2 linked regions of the Caenorhabditis elegans genome follow. The protein of the gene in region 1 interacts with the protein of each later gene in a pairwise test. Each region holds a gene or a part of one and is shown on either strand. Other genes may lie near its edges.

What was found. Proteins that work in one complex are often made in the same cells at the same time.
Region 2: the proteins of rsp-2 (region 1) and mat-1 interact in a two-hybrid assay, tested with the Caenorhabditis elegans proteins (one large-scale study listed by BioGRID).

Annotation. Positions count from the first base shown.
Region 1 is NC_003280.10:11,448,907-11,455,852, forward strand, and holds rsp-2 (putative splicing factor, arginine/serine-rich 2), read right to left. Parts: upstream 4,050-6,946; 5' UTR 4,040-4,049; coding exon 3,920-4,039; intron 3,868-3,919; coding exon 3,610-3,867; intron 3,321-3,609; coding exon 3,244-3,320; intron 3,196-3,243; coding exon 2,899-3,195; intron 2,851-2,898; coding exon 2,757-2,850; 3' UTR 2,535-2,756; downstream 1-2,534. Other genes in the region: W02B12.1 (Lipase_GDSL domain-containing protein), read left to right, coding at 125-137, 543-712, 760-877, 928-1,094, 1,140-1,306, 1,657-1,743, 1,793-1,865, 2,005-2,109 and 2 more; rsp-1 (putative splicing factor, arginine/serine-rich 1), read left to right, coding at 5,075-5,197, 5,251-5,483, 5,535-5,607, 6,119-6,192, 6,245-6,535, 6,583-6,727. UniProt on the Caenorhabditis elegans protein: Plays a functionally redundant role in spermatogenesis and growth rate control. Required for the development of somatic gonad structures and for progression from larval stage to adulthood.
Region 2 is NC_003279.8:5,122,222-5,131,117, forward strand, and holds mat-1 (Cell division cycle protein 27 homolog), read right to left. Parts: upstream 4,981-8,896; 5' UTR 4,967-4,980; coding exon 4,795-4,966; intron 4,746-4,794; coding exon 4,598-4,745; intron 4,546-4,597; coding exon 4,285-4,545; intron 4,234-4,284; coding exon 4,058-4,233; intron 3,863-4,057; coding exon 3,655-3,862; intron 3,612-3,654; coding exon 3,512-3,611; intron 3,467-3,511; coding exon 3,311-3,466; intron 3,268-3,310; coding exon 3,126-3,267; intron 3,079-3,125; coding exon 2,580-3,078; intron 2,532-2,579; coding exon 2,176-2,531; intron 2,126-2,175; coding exon 1,971-2,125; 3' UTR 1,694-1,970; downstream 1-1,693. Other genes in the region: Y110A7A.9 (WD repeat-containing protein 11), read left to right, coding at 1-52, 692-1,380, 1,423-1,632; prp-31 (U4/U6 small nuclear ribonucleoprotein Prp31), read left to right, coding at 5,629-5,718, 5,793-5,905, 5,954-6,071, 6,120-7,313; Y110A7A.7 (Fungal lipase-type domain-containing protein), read left to right, coding at 7,558-7,767, 7,825-7,941, 8,004-8,315, 8,478-8,647, 8,697-8,826. UniProt on the Caenorhabditis elegans protein: Probable component of the anaphase promoting complex/cyclosome (APC/C), a cell cycle-regulated E3 ubiquitin ligase that controls progression through mitosis and the G1 phase of the cell cycle.

The sequences.
Region 1 (6,946 bases):
AGAGCATGTCCGGACGCAAATCAAAATGTCCTGATAAAGACTATAAAGGTGATAAGCAGTGGGTGTCGATAATGTCTTGAATATCATCTTTTTGAGACTCTGTTTCAGACAGCACTACTGAATCATGCGGTGGTTAGGTAGGTCATTTTGAATTAGGAATTATTAGAAAAAGAAACTAATCGTTTAGATTTACGTAGGCTCGTGTATTCTGCTAGGAGAATCTCAATTTTTTAAAAATGATTTTGTATCTATCATGCTCTTGTTCATAGGTTCCTAGACATGTATTCTTTCCTTTTTTTCAGAAAACAAGAAATTAATTTTAAATTTTAAATATCCAAATTTCGTAAAAATTGCCGCTTTGCTTTATACGCGCTCGCTATTTTTCTGAGTAGGTCTCTTCACGATCTCAGCCGCAGTGGGTGGTGGCTACAACTTTCAAATTCCACATAGTTGTTCAATTTGCAACCTGCTAATAAATACTAGAAAATTAGTCAAAAATCTAGCCTTTTAGTTAGAAAAATACACCCATTCTTTACGTTCAGTTACCACGTTGCTATGTTGCTCCCTGGCTCATGGGCTCAAGGATCTCGGAGCTCCGAACTGGTCGTGTGACGCTAGTGTTATGGCAAAGAGTAAGAAAGTTCCCACCAGTGCTCATAGTGTTCGATTTGCTGATATCAAGGTTATTGGAGCACTTGGGGACTCGTTGACTGTGAGTATGCTTTAATTTTACTAAAACCAATTAGGTCAAACTTCCAGGCAGCCAATGGTGCTGGAGCTCAACCAGGAGACCCGCTGGCAGTCATCCTGCAATATAGAGGACTTGCCTTCCAGATTGGAGGTGATAAAAGCCTTGATGAGCACATTACTGTTGCAAGTGAGTTTTTACAATTTTGATAATATTTTTACCCTTCTAAAACCTTTCAGATGTACTAAGAAAGTTCAATCCAACCTTGGTGGGTGCCTCAAAAGGAATCGGCTCGGAAAACGTATGGGAAGTTTCTCACTTGAATATGGGAGTTCCTGGAGCTGAATCCAAGGATATTATCGGTCAGGCAAGAGCTCTGGTCAACACTATGCATGCTCATTCTGAAGTAATTTAGAGCTTCTGAGCCCCCTTTTCAAATCAAAGCTTTCAGATTAACGTGAAAGAAGACTGGAAACTTGTCAACATTTTCATTGGGGCAAACGATATTTGTGTCTATTGTGAAGATCCGTACTTCAACTCGACGGCTCTTCATGGAAATGCAACTTTTGAGAAGAATATCATCGCAGCTGTTCAGATTCTTCAGGATAATCTGCCAAGGTATTGAATAGACGCGAAATTTTGCAATTTTTGCGCTAAGAATACGGTATCCGGTCTCGGCGCGATAATATTTTGTAAAGTTAAAACGGGTGTGTGCCATTTAAAAAGTACTGTAATTTCAAACTGAATTTCCATAAAGTTTTTTATTTAAAAAATATTTATACAAAAACTAAGAAAAAATAATAAAAACCAGATGAATTTTAACAAATTGTGAGCAAAAAGACAAAATTTTAAAATTACAGTACTCTTTAGAGGCGCACGAATTTCAAATTTAAACTGTTCAGTAGAATTTCAGTTTGCAAAACTTTTTCTTCGTGGCGTGAGTTTAAAAATTCAAATATTTATTCCAGAACAATTGTCTCACTGACCGGAATGTTCAACATGAGAATGCTTCGTAAGATTGACAAGAAGAAGTATTTCTGCGAAGGACTTCATACGTAGGGGAACTTGAATTCCTAAAAATTCTGTTTAACTTTTGGCTTTTAGATTCGAATGTGATTGTGAGTCCAACAAACAATTCACTGATGATGATATTCAAGGAGTTTGCTTCGGATATATGGTTTGTTTTGGATTATTACCAGTCCCAGGTCTTGACGTGAGCCAAACTTTTCAGATACCGTAGTGTCGCATACGGTACGGTAGCTGAAAAGTTTCGGTCGTGGTGGGACACATCTTTCTAAATTTTTAAAAGTTTTCAGAATGCTGAAAAAGATATTCAAAACACGGGATTATTCGATAACAAGGATGATTTCACGTTTGTAGTTCAACCATTTTTCAACGGGATTCTGGATCCACCATACGCGGTTGGCACATTTTGAATTTAAATTTCATTTAAATATTTGCATTTTCCAGAGCCCAGGAGTTGTTGACATGACATTCTTTGCTCCAGATTGCTTCCATTTCTCGGCTTACGGGCATGGAAATATTGGAATGCATCTTTGGAACACAATTGTTCAACCAGTAATCATAACTCCGGAATAATGATTTTATTGTTTAATGGGATTTTTCTAGGTTGGATTCAAACAAACCAGTGTCAATTTGAGTGATCCTTCAGTTGGATTACATTGCCCAAGTACAAACTGTCCGTTCTTCCCGACTACAAAAAACAGCAATAACTGTGCTTCACACTTCACGTTGAGCGAGCTAGATTAAACTTTTTCGCGAATATTCAATTGTTTTCAAATGAACTTTATGAGAAGTGTTATGTATTCGATAAAAAATTGCAAAGTTTGCATCCAAATTGTTTTATTGAATTTTATAAAAATAATATATTAAATTAGTGGTAGTTTTTAGACAAAAAAACACACAAACAGAGAGAGAGAAAGAGAGAGACGCACAACATTAGATTGGTCGATTACATGATTCGGCTTTTTGCACGAGTTACTGACGTTACGATAAAAAAATAGATGGAACAGGAAATTTCACATGAGAGGTGCAATGATAAATAAAATTATGGAGATGCAGATCCGGAACGTGGAGAAGAGTTGTCGCGTCTTTTCTTTGGTGATGGAGAACGGTTTGGTGGAGAGTTGGAGCGGGAACGTCTGGAAAATAGAAATGTATTTTCTCACTAATCATAAATTTATTTTTACCTTCCGCCGGAACGAGAACGGCTCTTGCTCTCACTGCGAGCTCTCTTGTCGGATCGTTTCTTTGGTGATGCACTACGGCTCTTTCTGTCCGATCTGTCAGATCCAGGACTGCGACGACGAGCTGGTGGAGAACGGCTTCTAGTGGGACTTCTGGATCGAGAGCGACGGCGTGGACTTCTTGAACGGCTGCGGTCACGGGTCTCATCCGTGCATTTGAGCTTTCTTCCGTTCAGGTCTTCACCTTGCAACTTGTTCATCGCATCACGCAAGTCGTCATGGGAAGTGAAGCATACGATTCTAAAAATAAAAACGATGAATTACATTTAAAAGAAGTGCATATCATACGCTTGGTTGACATTTCTCTTGTGCGCCTCGGAGTAGGTCGGCTCGATTCCCAGCTTGCGGATGTGGTCCTTGATGTCCTAAAATTCAGGTACAGGGTATTGATTGTTTGTGAAGTAGGGCCAGATTGATAGGAGGAAGAAGAATGCCATTGACTGAGGAAATTGATTGAGAGCAATTGAATTGCAAATTGTATTGGCAAATGGCACACCCACTGAGTTGCTGCTGTAGCATTCAAAATGTTCGTTTTGAAAAAATGAGTGACAGTTTTCAGTAAAATTTGGAACGGGGGTAGTATTTCGTTAGTTGTTCAATCACACTCAAACACGCAACTTGTGAATCGCTATGGCTCGCAGTCATGTATCTTACCTGCCAACTGTAACGAGTAGACAAATTATCGATCACCAAACGGAATCTAGTCGAGCACGGACGACTGTATCGGTTGGAAAACTGGCGCTCGCCGCCTTTTCTGAACGTTGGCTCACGTCCTCTGAAACCACTCCCACTTCTTTCCTCGTTGTACCCAACTTTACGCCGTGGAAACTCAAGAATGACTCTCTCTCCACAAAGCTCTTTCCCATTCAAATCGTGGACAGCGTCATCGGCATCGCGCTGGTCTTGAAAATCCTGAAATTATGACATATTCAAGATATTCTGACGAAAATATGTTATCTCTTACCACGAAACCAAATCCGTTCTTCATTATGACATCAGACAGCTTTCCATATCCGCGGAAGAAGTGCTCGACATCACGATCAGATGCTCTATTTGGCAAACGACCGATGTAGACACGAACCATGTTTAGAGGTCTGAAATAAGTGAAGAATGAGAAAAGTCAATTCAAAAGAGAGAAGAAATAAGAAAAGTCTGGAGAAATAAAAATTATTGTGGCCAGAGAGGAAGAGAATTTGGGCATTGCACATTAAATAGGAGGCAATATGTACATGCACATGCACGCGACGCGCTGAAATTAAGTCGATAATCAATAAAATGGGAGCACAGGACGATGCCACAGAGTTATAAAACGAGAAACGCGCAATGGTATCCCATTAATGCGTCAGCAGCGTTCTGACACGCACTTAGTGCTCTAAGCGTTGCGGTTGCGTCGCGGGTGCCCTCATTTGAAACTGATTTTCGCATTTTGTGCGGCATTTCTTCTTATTTTTAAAGTATTTCACTAATCCTGCATTGAATTTCGCCTGCGTAGGTGTTCAGGTTGATATGCTCTTAACTTTTCATCAGAATGCAAACTATAATCTTGTGGTTTTAGGATTTTATATGAAAATAAGTCGAATAAGCGCTTTAAGATGTTTTTTTTGTGATGAAAGGCATTGATTCACAGAATCTCAAATAAAGAATATCAAAGCAAAATGAGTCCATTGGCTAACCTGGATGTGAAAGCGTTAAGTGTTATATATTTACTTTAAAAAAAACTTCAAATTATTTTCAAGCTAGGAAACGATATTAGAACTTTAAAAAACGCAGAAAATCATCAAATTCGAAAGGAAGGAATTTTAGGATTACGCAAATGCAAGATCATTTTTTTCATATGTGGGTCAGAGTTTGAAACTAATTAGGAGAAAAACATTGCAACTAATTTAAGAAATGTAGGGCGCAGACGAGAAAAGAGTGGTTGTACGCAGAGAAAATGAGTGTGTTTTGAGTAAAACAGCTGCCCCGCTTATCGGCCAAGGTGCGCGTTGTTGTCATGGCTACATTGTCTGTGAGTGCGCTCTCAAACGCGCACATTTTGTGAATCGATAATCTTCTCGTCTTCAATATTATTTTTCTCCTCTGTGATACAGGCCATTCATTCATTCGCTTTCTTTTCAGCATGGCAGCTCGAATTTACATCGGTCGGTTGACTTCTCGTGTTTCTGAAAAGGACATTGAGCATTTCTTCCGTGGTTATGGCCAAATTCGCGACGTCCTACTCAAGAATGGTTTTGGATTTGTCGTAAGTTATAATTTCTAAAACCATTTCAGTTTCCTAATGTCATTTTTTTTCAGGAGTTCGACGACAAGCGTGACGCCGAAGACGCAGTTCATGATTTGAACGGAAAGGAGCTCGGTGGAGAGCGTGTCATATTGGATTATTCCAAACCACGAGGAGGCGGTGGCGACCGCGGTGGTTTCGGTGGTGGCGGTCGTGGAGGTGCACGAGTCAGCTCATACAGCGGTGGTGGCGGTGGAGGACGCGATAGATTCGATCGTTATGATCGTGGACCACCAAGAAGAGAAAGGTAATTGAATGAAGCGATAGTGGCAATAATAATAACCACTTACATTTTCAGTCGCTACGGTCGTCCATACAGCACTCGTCATCGCGTCGTCGTCGAGAATCTCTCATCTCGAATTTCTTGGCAGGTATGTAAAACGAAACGGAGATAGAAACTGTAATACATCTATTGAAACTTTATCTTGACAAAATACAACACGATCATCTCAATTTGTCAGTGGGAGGAAAACATCTTTCCTAATATTTTATATTTAAGCAGGAGAAGATTGTATGATAACTGGAGGATCTTGTTGTTGATGATGATTCTTGTGATTTGGTATCATGTGATCCCGAGCCTGTCTGATGATGGTCGGACCGCAGAACAAAGGGCGCAAAATGATTATTGGCTCTCCTTCTCCCGCGTAGTCTTGATGTTCTTGGTTCCTGTACTTTTTGGTCCTGCACGCTGGGATGTGATTTCGGGTTTTTGGTGTTCGCGTGGTTAGGCTGAGTGGTTCGGATGATCCCGCATCAAACATGTGCAAGGATTGCATATGGTAATCCCGATTGTGCGCTATTCACGCACATTTTTCACAACACCTTGGAAAGCCGTCAAATATCGACAGATGTAATTATGTAGCATCTTTATTGTGTTTTCAGGATCTCAAAGACCAAGTCCGCCGCCAAGGAGTTGAACCAACCTATGCCGAAGCTCATAAGAGACCAAATGAAGCGTAAGTTTGCAATTTGTAGATAGAAGATGAAAAATAACAAATCAATTTTCAGACTTCTCTGCTTCGCAACACCATCCGATCTTAAAAGATGCATTGAGAAATGCGATGGAATGGATTTGAATGGAAGAAAGATCAAGATGATCGACGACTCGCAAGCTGGACGCTCACGTTCTCGATCCAACAGTCGCTCTCGCAGCCGTTCTCGCAGTCGTGATCGTCGCCGCTCCCGCTCTCGCAGCTCGAGTCGCTCAAAGAGCCGTAGCCGTTCCCCACCAAAACGCTCTCGACGCGAATCGAAGTCCAAGTCTCGCAGCAGAAGCCGTTCTCGCAGCGCTGACAACAGGTATTGATATTATAAAAGTGATGATTTAAAAAACAAACTATTTTCAGAAAGTCTCGTTCGCCATCAAGATCTCCAAAGAAGGTCGATCGCTCTCCATCTCCACCACGCGGATCGCGTTCGCCTTCGGAAAAGGGATCCCCGAGACGTTCGAGAAGCGCATCTCCAATGGATAATGGAGACGGTGACAACTAAACTCGCTTCGGTTCCAAAACAAATGTTCCGTTATTTAATTAATCACTAAATTCAAATTTCCTTATTCCACTTCTGTTTCTCTTTTTACCCAAGCTGAATAAGCACAGTTCTCTGAACTTTTAAAATTTTTATTTGTTTATTTTATGGATCTCAAATGATAAATTTCGAGAAATTATGCACTTGTAATTATGGCTATAAGAATTATTAAAGCAGGAATGA
Region 2 (8,896 bases), on another chromosome or scaffold:
ACATTGCGTTTTGTGGTTTCTAATACGAAAAATCAACCGATTTTGGAGAAAGGTAACGTCTTCATTAGTTTATTGTACGAAAATATTTTTTGAGACCCGAAGAACTCGGGGGATGTCCAATTGGGGGGATTACCAACTCGGGGGATTGGCCCCGCCCACAGAACCGTGGCTTGCAATACGCCCATTTCTTGGTAATCCCCCCAATTGGACATCCCCCGAGTTCTTCGGGTCTCTGTTTTTTACATGAAATTTTGCAATTTTTATATACATAGTCTTACTTACCAGGGCTGGGACCGAAAAAAAATTGAATTTTGTGTAACACCAAAAAGCCCAAAAAAAATTTGATGCTATTACCAAAAAAACCAAAAAACATCGCAGCCCTGTTACTTTCTTGCTTCGTTTTTCGTTTGAACCGTAAATATTTTGCGCTTAATTTTATTGCCAGGAAACAAATATTTAGGGTCAGTAGGTCGTAAATGTTGTCCATTGCCCTGGACGACATTTTACAACCGCCTTACGTCGAATGATAGGTTAGAAATAACAGAAATTGGAATTTGAAATATGCTCATTCACAGTAGAACAGTTCGGAGATTTTTACTGTTGTAAAAGATAAAAAAGTAAATCTGAAATTTCTGATATATTCACGAAAGTTTAAAATTGGAGATTTGTTTTTAAAACTATCAAATTTCAGAAATCCCATTCCTCTACAAAGATGACTCGATGAATAATGTTCGTAAACACCTTGAAGGATCCGGAAGCCGAAAATCTTCAGAAGACAGAAGTTCGGCTGATAAATCAGAGGACAGCACACTCGAAGACGCAATTGCATGGATCGATCAGAATCAGAGACCTCAAATTGAAACACTTGAAGCTGACTTATCAAAACTTCAACGTGAACGAGTAGTACGGCGATTTATCGGGGATCACTTTTCGGCTGATCTTCTATCCATTGTCATCGATCGATTTGCTCATTCGGAAACAGAACATTTGGCTCCAAATCTACAAATGTTCTGGGAGAATGGAGCATTTAAAGAACGAGAATCACGAGTTATCAGTGTAGCGTGTGCAGCTGAACAAGCAATGGAAAGGAGATTAGTCGAACAAGCTGTAGTTGTTGGAGGATCTGCAAAGGAAAGAGTCACCGATCGATTGATTGTTTCTGCAGATCTTCGGTACGCAAGCATCAAAGCAGCGTTGCTAGTCTCTTGTCAGGATAACGAAAAAGCAAAATCTCTGATAAAGCTCATCGCTACAAATTTGATTGCATCCGATTTGATTGAAGACGGAGTTGAACTATTGTTCTTGGTCGGAGCTGGTGGAGATGCTTGCAAGTATCTACAATCACAGAAATTATGGACGAAAAGTATTGTATATGCAAAGGTACGTTAACAAAAAAATAATCTGTATAAATTAATTTTATAGATGGGATTGGACGATCCTACTGAAGTCGAGTCAAAATGGATCGGACACCTTGCCGACGAGGCTAAACAAATTCGTGTTTTAGCCGAAGCATCTCGTCGTAATTGGCCCGACGTTGTTGAAGCGACATCCTCTGCTGATGCTATTCTAGCTCGATTGATTCTACGAACAACCACATCCACTCCACCTCTGTCTTCTTGTCCTACACCGTGATTAATTAGTTTTTTCGTGTTTGGTTGTGAAATAATCACTGTGTAAATAGCGGAAAGTGATATATAATTTAAATTCTAATTTATAAGGCGAATTTTGAAAAGCTTGTGAATATAGATAAATGGGTTCCTGCTTTACAATTTAAGAATTTGACAAAAAATGAGTTTATAGTCTCAAAGCATTTTCTTCGACAGACTATATATATATATCCGCGATTAGTATAGAACAGAGTAAAAGTAAAAAAGAAAGAAAAGACGAGTGAAAAACCCGCGCCAAAAAAGACGATTATAGCACGAAATTGGCTATGATGAGCTATCGAGAAGTAGAACGAGTTATGAAAATTATACTGGCGATCCGTACTCGTCGTCCTCGTATTCCTCGCGATTGATAACATTCGAGTCAGTGATGTTCTGCTCGCCACGTGGATCCAGCTCAGCCGCCCAGCTATAATTAAGAAGAGCCAAATGAGTATTTCCCATTCTTCGGTGAACTCGTGCTGAAAAATTCAAATTTATATAAAATAGTATAACTAATTTTAATACGTACCAAGCAGATGGAAAATGAATGCTTCATCTGGCGAACTAGCTTTCAATTTATCAAGTTCCACTAGACATTCTTCATTTCGATTCGCCTCAAACAAGAGACGTGATCTATTGAAACGGCAAGCCACATCAAGAGGATTCAGAGTGAGAGCCCTGTCAATCAGCACGAGAGCAGTATCGATTTGTCCACGTTGTTGCTCGATTTGGGACAGTGTGCAGAGCATTGCACGATTCGTTGGATTAATATTAACAGCCTTCTGGATATTGGTCAGTGCAGTCAGATTTTGCTCTTTCTTTAGGTGAACCAACCCGAGACCATACCAGGCACGGTAATCGCGAGGAGAAAGGAGAAGTGCTGATCTGAAAATTTAATGTTTTAATTAAAAACTTTCATGATCCTATAAATACCTGAAAGATCCCGCAGCTTTGTCAAGTTCATCCTGAACGATAAGCTCATGCCCCAATAAAGTGTATGCGTAGGCGAATCGTTTGTCAAGTTGAATAGCCCTCTCCATACATTCAATTGCCTGAGTATGCTGTCTTTGTAATGAGAAGCAATTTCCAGCGGCACACCAACTCTGTGGCCGTTCCCGTGATTCAGTTGTCAAAATCTGAGAAAGAGCCGAAAGAGCATGAGTATCTTGAAGGTGCCACATTGAGGTGGACAATAGCTCGGTTCCGTCAACCTTCCACTTTCTACGTTTATGCAAATCATCGAGAATGTTCCGGCACTCTCTGTATTCGGATTGCTCGAAGCAAGCTCTTCCCAACTGAAGACGGACCATAGACGTGTTAAGAATGATATCTCTATCGAGTTTTGCGAATAAAGCATCAGCCGATCTCCAATTGTATGTACTGATTGACTCTTCAATAAGTGCAATGTGTTGATAAACATCAAATAATTTCTCTGAAGAACAAATAAAATCATTAATTTTTGATTAACTGATTTCATACTGTATTCTGGATCGTAAACTCCATCGACAATATCCATAGGTTCATCATTGTTCAAAGAAGAAGCCACAGAAGGGAGAGGAGGATTGATCTGGGATACCTCATCTTCTGATGGACGCTCACTAGCTGTTGATGCCACCTGAAGCTGCTAATAATTGAAGAAAAATAACTGGTCATTATATTCTTACAGAATTGGTAGAACCCGACAAACTCCGTGCAAGATTTGAGTTTCTGGATACCAAAGGTTGTTTTTCATTTCGTCTTCTTTGACTCAGAGTTTTGGCAGTCTTGTTTGCAGCAGCGGCGGCGTCAGCAATTCTGATTGAAGTACGCACAGGATTGGTCTAAATTTAGAAAATTATTAATTTCAGTGTCCAAATAAATGTTACCCTCTGGGACGACGATGACCCTCTGGTAACTGATGCAATTCCACTCCGAGTTCTCGTATTCGATGCATTCGAATTCTCCGTATCGCTGTTTAGTGCAGCACTGAAATTATTGAAATAAAATTTCAAAATCTGTCACCACTCACTTTGCGCGATTTCTAGAGCTATGTGTAGCCCTCGTGTGTGGTCTCTCGGGTTCTGTGAATAACGATGATCGAGATCCAGTGACTGAAGATTCGGTACGTCGTGTCGTCATTTCACTGATTCTGGAGCTTTTTCTCGGGGCAGTTGGATTAATACGTGAAGGTGTGGATCCAGGAGTGGATTGTCTTGGAGTGATGTTTGATGTGGTATCTGTAACTTTTAATTTCTGATTCAGCATGATCTTTCAAAAATTTTTAATAGTGGATTTTGAAAAATCGCATTTTTAGAGTCGGATTTTTTTCTAAACTGATATTCCAAAATTTTATTCTCCAAAAAAGAAAATCCTATAAATACTTCCTATAAATTTACGGAAAATTTTTCAATAGTTTTTTCCGCTTCACTCACTTCTTGTCTCGCGATTCGCCGAAGCAATCGTACCGCGTGTAGATCGTCTGACCGAACTTTCCAGTCTGGAAGGTTCAGCAGTGCTGGCAGCTGAAGAAGACGACGGCCCAGGAACATTTGGTGATGGTGTTTCGGATTTCAAACTCGAAGCTGGACTATCCAGGTATAGACCATTTCTATAAAAATGTCGGCATAATATTTAAATTTAAACATTCTCAGAATCTTACGATTTTCGGTGATGTTTTTCAAAAGTATGGGCGAGATCATGACCTCCAAACCGTAAATAAGTTATGATAGCTGACCACAACAAAATATTCTCATCCAGAGACTTTTGACAAGATTCTAAAGCCAGATCCATGTAACTTTCATCGCAAAGCATTTGAGCATGAAGCAAATTAGCATGTGATGCAACCCGTGGCTCTTCCAGGATATCTTTCCGTATCACTCCATCGTCATGTTCGAAAAGAGCTCCTCTACAGTCATCGATTCTAAAGAAAAATTAAAATAATGAATAAATATACATATATATTACAAACTAACTTATTTAAATCGTAGGATACCCTTGCAAGTAGATAGAAGAGTCTAGCTCCGCTCAATTTAACTGAACTAAGGAGACCATAACATTCCTCTTTCTTATTGGCTCTATACAGACAATCAGCGTATAGAAGAAGAGATTCGGAGTTGTTGCCTGAAAAAAAGTTATTGAAATTAAAATATGAATTAAAAACGAAAACCACTTTTATCGGTTTCGTAATGAAGCTCGGCTAGAAAAATAGCATCATCAAAAGCGTAACACTTCATCATTTCATGAATCTCATCTTCAATTGTTCGGTGTGCGTCCGCTGGAAAACGCTCGAACACCTCTCTCAATTGAGGCCGCACAGCTACAGACGCAGCTGATTCTTTCATTCTCTTCGCGACCTGAAGAAACGCTAAATAAACTATTAAATCGAGAAAAGCGGTGATATTCAAGAAAAGAGATATCGGCGAACAAAAGGGAAACGAAAATCAATTTGACCATTTCTCAAATACATCCCTTAGGTTATTGTATCGATTATACTGACAATTGAACTCAAACTTTAAAAACTAAAAGTGCCAAGAAATCGAAGAAAAATTGATCAGGCGTTCACATTAAATGAGGATCATTTGAGTTTTATCGATTGGTTTCAAACAAAGCTTGGAAAAAATGCAATAGTTTGCCAGCAGGCATGTGAACGTTGTATGAATCGATTGCCGAGAAAATGTCATCGAATTGAAGAGTAGATCATTTCCAGCGAACTGCAGCAATGAAGAGAAACGAGAAAGACGGGGAACGGCGTACAACGTGAACTTTTGCGCCCGACTACAGCCGGCGGCGGCCGGTCTTCAATTGTCGTCAGATGAGGTGCATTGCGTGCTTTTGTGTTTGCGGAGTCGCATACCGTACTTCGCAATCCTAATGTTTTTCGAAATTGTTTTTTTTCTTTTTCTTTTCTTTTTTTCTTTTTGCCTTGTTCATTTTTTCTTTTAACTAAGAGAATTGAAATACTATTTTAATCTAAAATTTCAGTTAATCTTTAAACTACCTAAAAATGTCGTTGGCTGAAGAACTTATGGCTGATTTTGACGATGACGACGATGAGGATTTGGAAGACATTCCAGATCTCGGAGAAAACCTTAAGGTAAATCGAATTTAAAATTTAAATTATTTAAAATCTAGAGTTTTTGCAGCATCTGATAAAATTGTAATTTTCAGGGCGTCAAAAAGGAAGAACTCGATGATGATATTGAAGAAGCAACAGAAGAACCGATGGATACAACTAAATATGCATCAGTGCACGATGTAGCAAAGCTTGCCAGATCTGATGAGTTAGTTTTAGTTTTGTTTTAATATATAATTTTAAAATACTTTTACAGATATTTAGCACTAGTGAAACAATTGGAAGTTGAACTGAAACGGCCTCAGGATGAAGTGAAGGTGACAGCTCCTCTTGAAGCAGATCCACAATACAAGCTTATTGTTAAATTATCCCACGTAAGTACATCATGAAAAAGAAACAAAAAAGGCAATGATTAATTTCAGGTCGCTGCAGATATCGACAACGAGATCAATGTGATTCACAAATTTGTTCGTGATAAATATGAAAAGCGCTTTCCTGAACTAGAAACGCTTGTTCCTAACGCGTTGACCTATTTGGCTACTGTACAGTTACTGGGAAACGAGATCAACAGCAAGGTAGTGAAAGAACAACTCGGCGGAATTCTAGATGCCTCAACATGCATGGTGGTCAGTGTAACAGTCTCAACAACACAAGGAGTCAAGCTTGAGCCAAATGAGCTGGAAACCGTCATGGATGCTTGTAATTTGGCTGCTCAACTTCATGTCAATCGTCTCGAAATGCACCAACTTGTAGAATGGCGAATGGCTCTGATTGCCCCGAATCTGGTTGCTTTGCTCGGCTCAACTACTACTGCCCATCTAGTTTCACAAGCCGGAGGATTGTCTCCACTAGCCACAATGCCATCATGTAATGTACAGGTTCTCGGAAAAACGAAAAAGAATTTGATTGGATTCTCAACAGTGTCCACAAATCCACATCATGGTTTTATCTATTTCCATCAGTTGGTTCAAAAGATGCCTCCAGATTTGAAAAACAAAGCGGCCAAAATTTTAGCTGCAAAAGTGACTTTAGTTGCTAGAATTGATGCTCAACACGAGTCATCCAACGGAGAAAAAGGCGCGGAATTTCTGGCGTTGGTGGAAAGTAAATTTGAAAAAATGTTGGAGCCACCACCAGTGAAAGCTAACAAAGCGCTTCCAAAACCTTTGGATAAGGCAAGTAAAAAACGTGGAGGACGTCGAACAAGAAAGATGAAGGAACGCCTCGGAATGACGGATCTTCGGAAAAGTGCCAATCGCATGAACTTTGGAGAATTGGGAGAAGATGTAATGCAAGAGCACATGGGATTCGATATTGGGCAGGTGAAGACCGGAAATGTGACTGGTGGAAGAATCCGAACAGCCGCAGTGGATCAGAAGACCAGAGCAAGAATGTCGCAAAAGATGATGCGGCAGATGGAGAGACAGAAAGCAGCTGGAGGAATGACAAGTATTCGAAGCAAAATGGCGGGAACTGCGTCATCTGTCACGTTCACACCAATTCAAGGTCTAGAGATTATCAATCCAGCTGCACAAGAACAGCAACAATGTTCATCGACTTCAAACTATTTCTCCTCGTCTGGAAGTTTTGTTAATATTGATCGGATGACTTTATAATATATTTATTTGTTACTTTCCTCTTCCTGAATTCTGAATTCTTGAATCTCAAACCAAATGAATCGACTTTTTCATTTATATAAAACTCAACAACTAAATACTAACCAATTGGTGGAATTTCTCCCCTCTTAAATATATCTTTACACTTATCCAATCTAACAACTTTTCACCTCGTAAACAACTCTCAATCCTCCCAATTTTCCTCTCCAGGTCTCAGTGATTTTCGATCGGAATTTCGACCCATATGCGAAACGGGTTCGCTCTTTTTTCATGTCTTTTCTTCTTTCTAGCTGATTGCAAGAAAGTAAATCGAGATTTTGACTATGAATTGAGCAAGAGAACTCTGGAATTCGCAGCGGCTGCGTATTCCATCGATCCGGAACCTTGCATCTCGAAAAACAATGCGACTTTATTGTTTTTCAAAAAGGTGGAGTGCGATTATATGCGTGACGAGGTAAAAGATCATGAGATCTTTAAATATTCAAAAATCATCTGATTTAATTTTTTCCAGTGCTGGAGTGTGATTGCTGCCGACAACGACACAATATTCGTCAGTTTCAGTGGAACAAAATCGAAAGAGCAGCTGGTAACTGAACTTATCGAAAGCATTGGTCGGCCAAAGCACAAAGTAGGCTCATGTTTCAAGTGTTTGTCTGAGTACTCACAGAGCAAAGAAAACTTATTTTACAGTTGCACAATGCTGGATCAGTTCATTATTACTTCTACTCTGCTCTAAAAACAATGTGGTCACCAATGGAAAAACTACTGCGAGGACTGAAAGACTCACTTCCAGATCATAAAATTGTGTTCACAGGACACTCATTGGGCGGAGCTATTGCAAGTATTGCATCGACTGTTTTCGTTAGAAACTTTCCCGAAACGTCGAGTCGAACCTTTTCAATCACATTCGGACAGCCTAGAGTTGGAAATCTCGAATATGCCATGACACATGACAAATTAGTTGCTGGAGGAAGCTGGAGACTGATTCATGGAAGAGATATTGTGAGGGAGACTAATATTTAAGATTTTTTTAATGCTTTATTAGGCTCAAAATGCACCCAAATGAGCGAATTTCGTAATGAAACTTCTCAAACAAGTTCGAAATTTTTTTCTGGCGGTTCAAAATATCCTCTTTCAAAAGACTATTAAAAGTTTTTTTTCTAGGTTGCACATATTCCGTTCTGCGTGGAAAGCTATGCCAGATGGTGTATACCATTCTACAATCATGGATCCTATCACCATGGAGTCGAAGTCTGGTTTCCTGGAAACATGACAAGTCAAGATACGTTCAAAGTTTGCACCGGGACTCCATTGAACGAGGACAATTTGTGCAGGCAAGTGACAGTGATCGAAATCACGTGATAAGAAAATCTTCTCTTACAGCAACACTCATCGCTACTTTGACATCAACGATCACCTGTTCTACTTTGGACACCACGTCTCAGATTACGGTGTTAATGGATGTGTAGACCCACCGGATGATGAACCATTAATAAATAATGAAAATGTTTAAATAAATTTAAAAATGTTGATTGAATTGCGATTCTTTTTCTCGTCGTTTCAACTGTTGAAAAGTCGGTTTG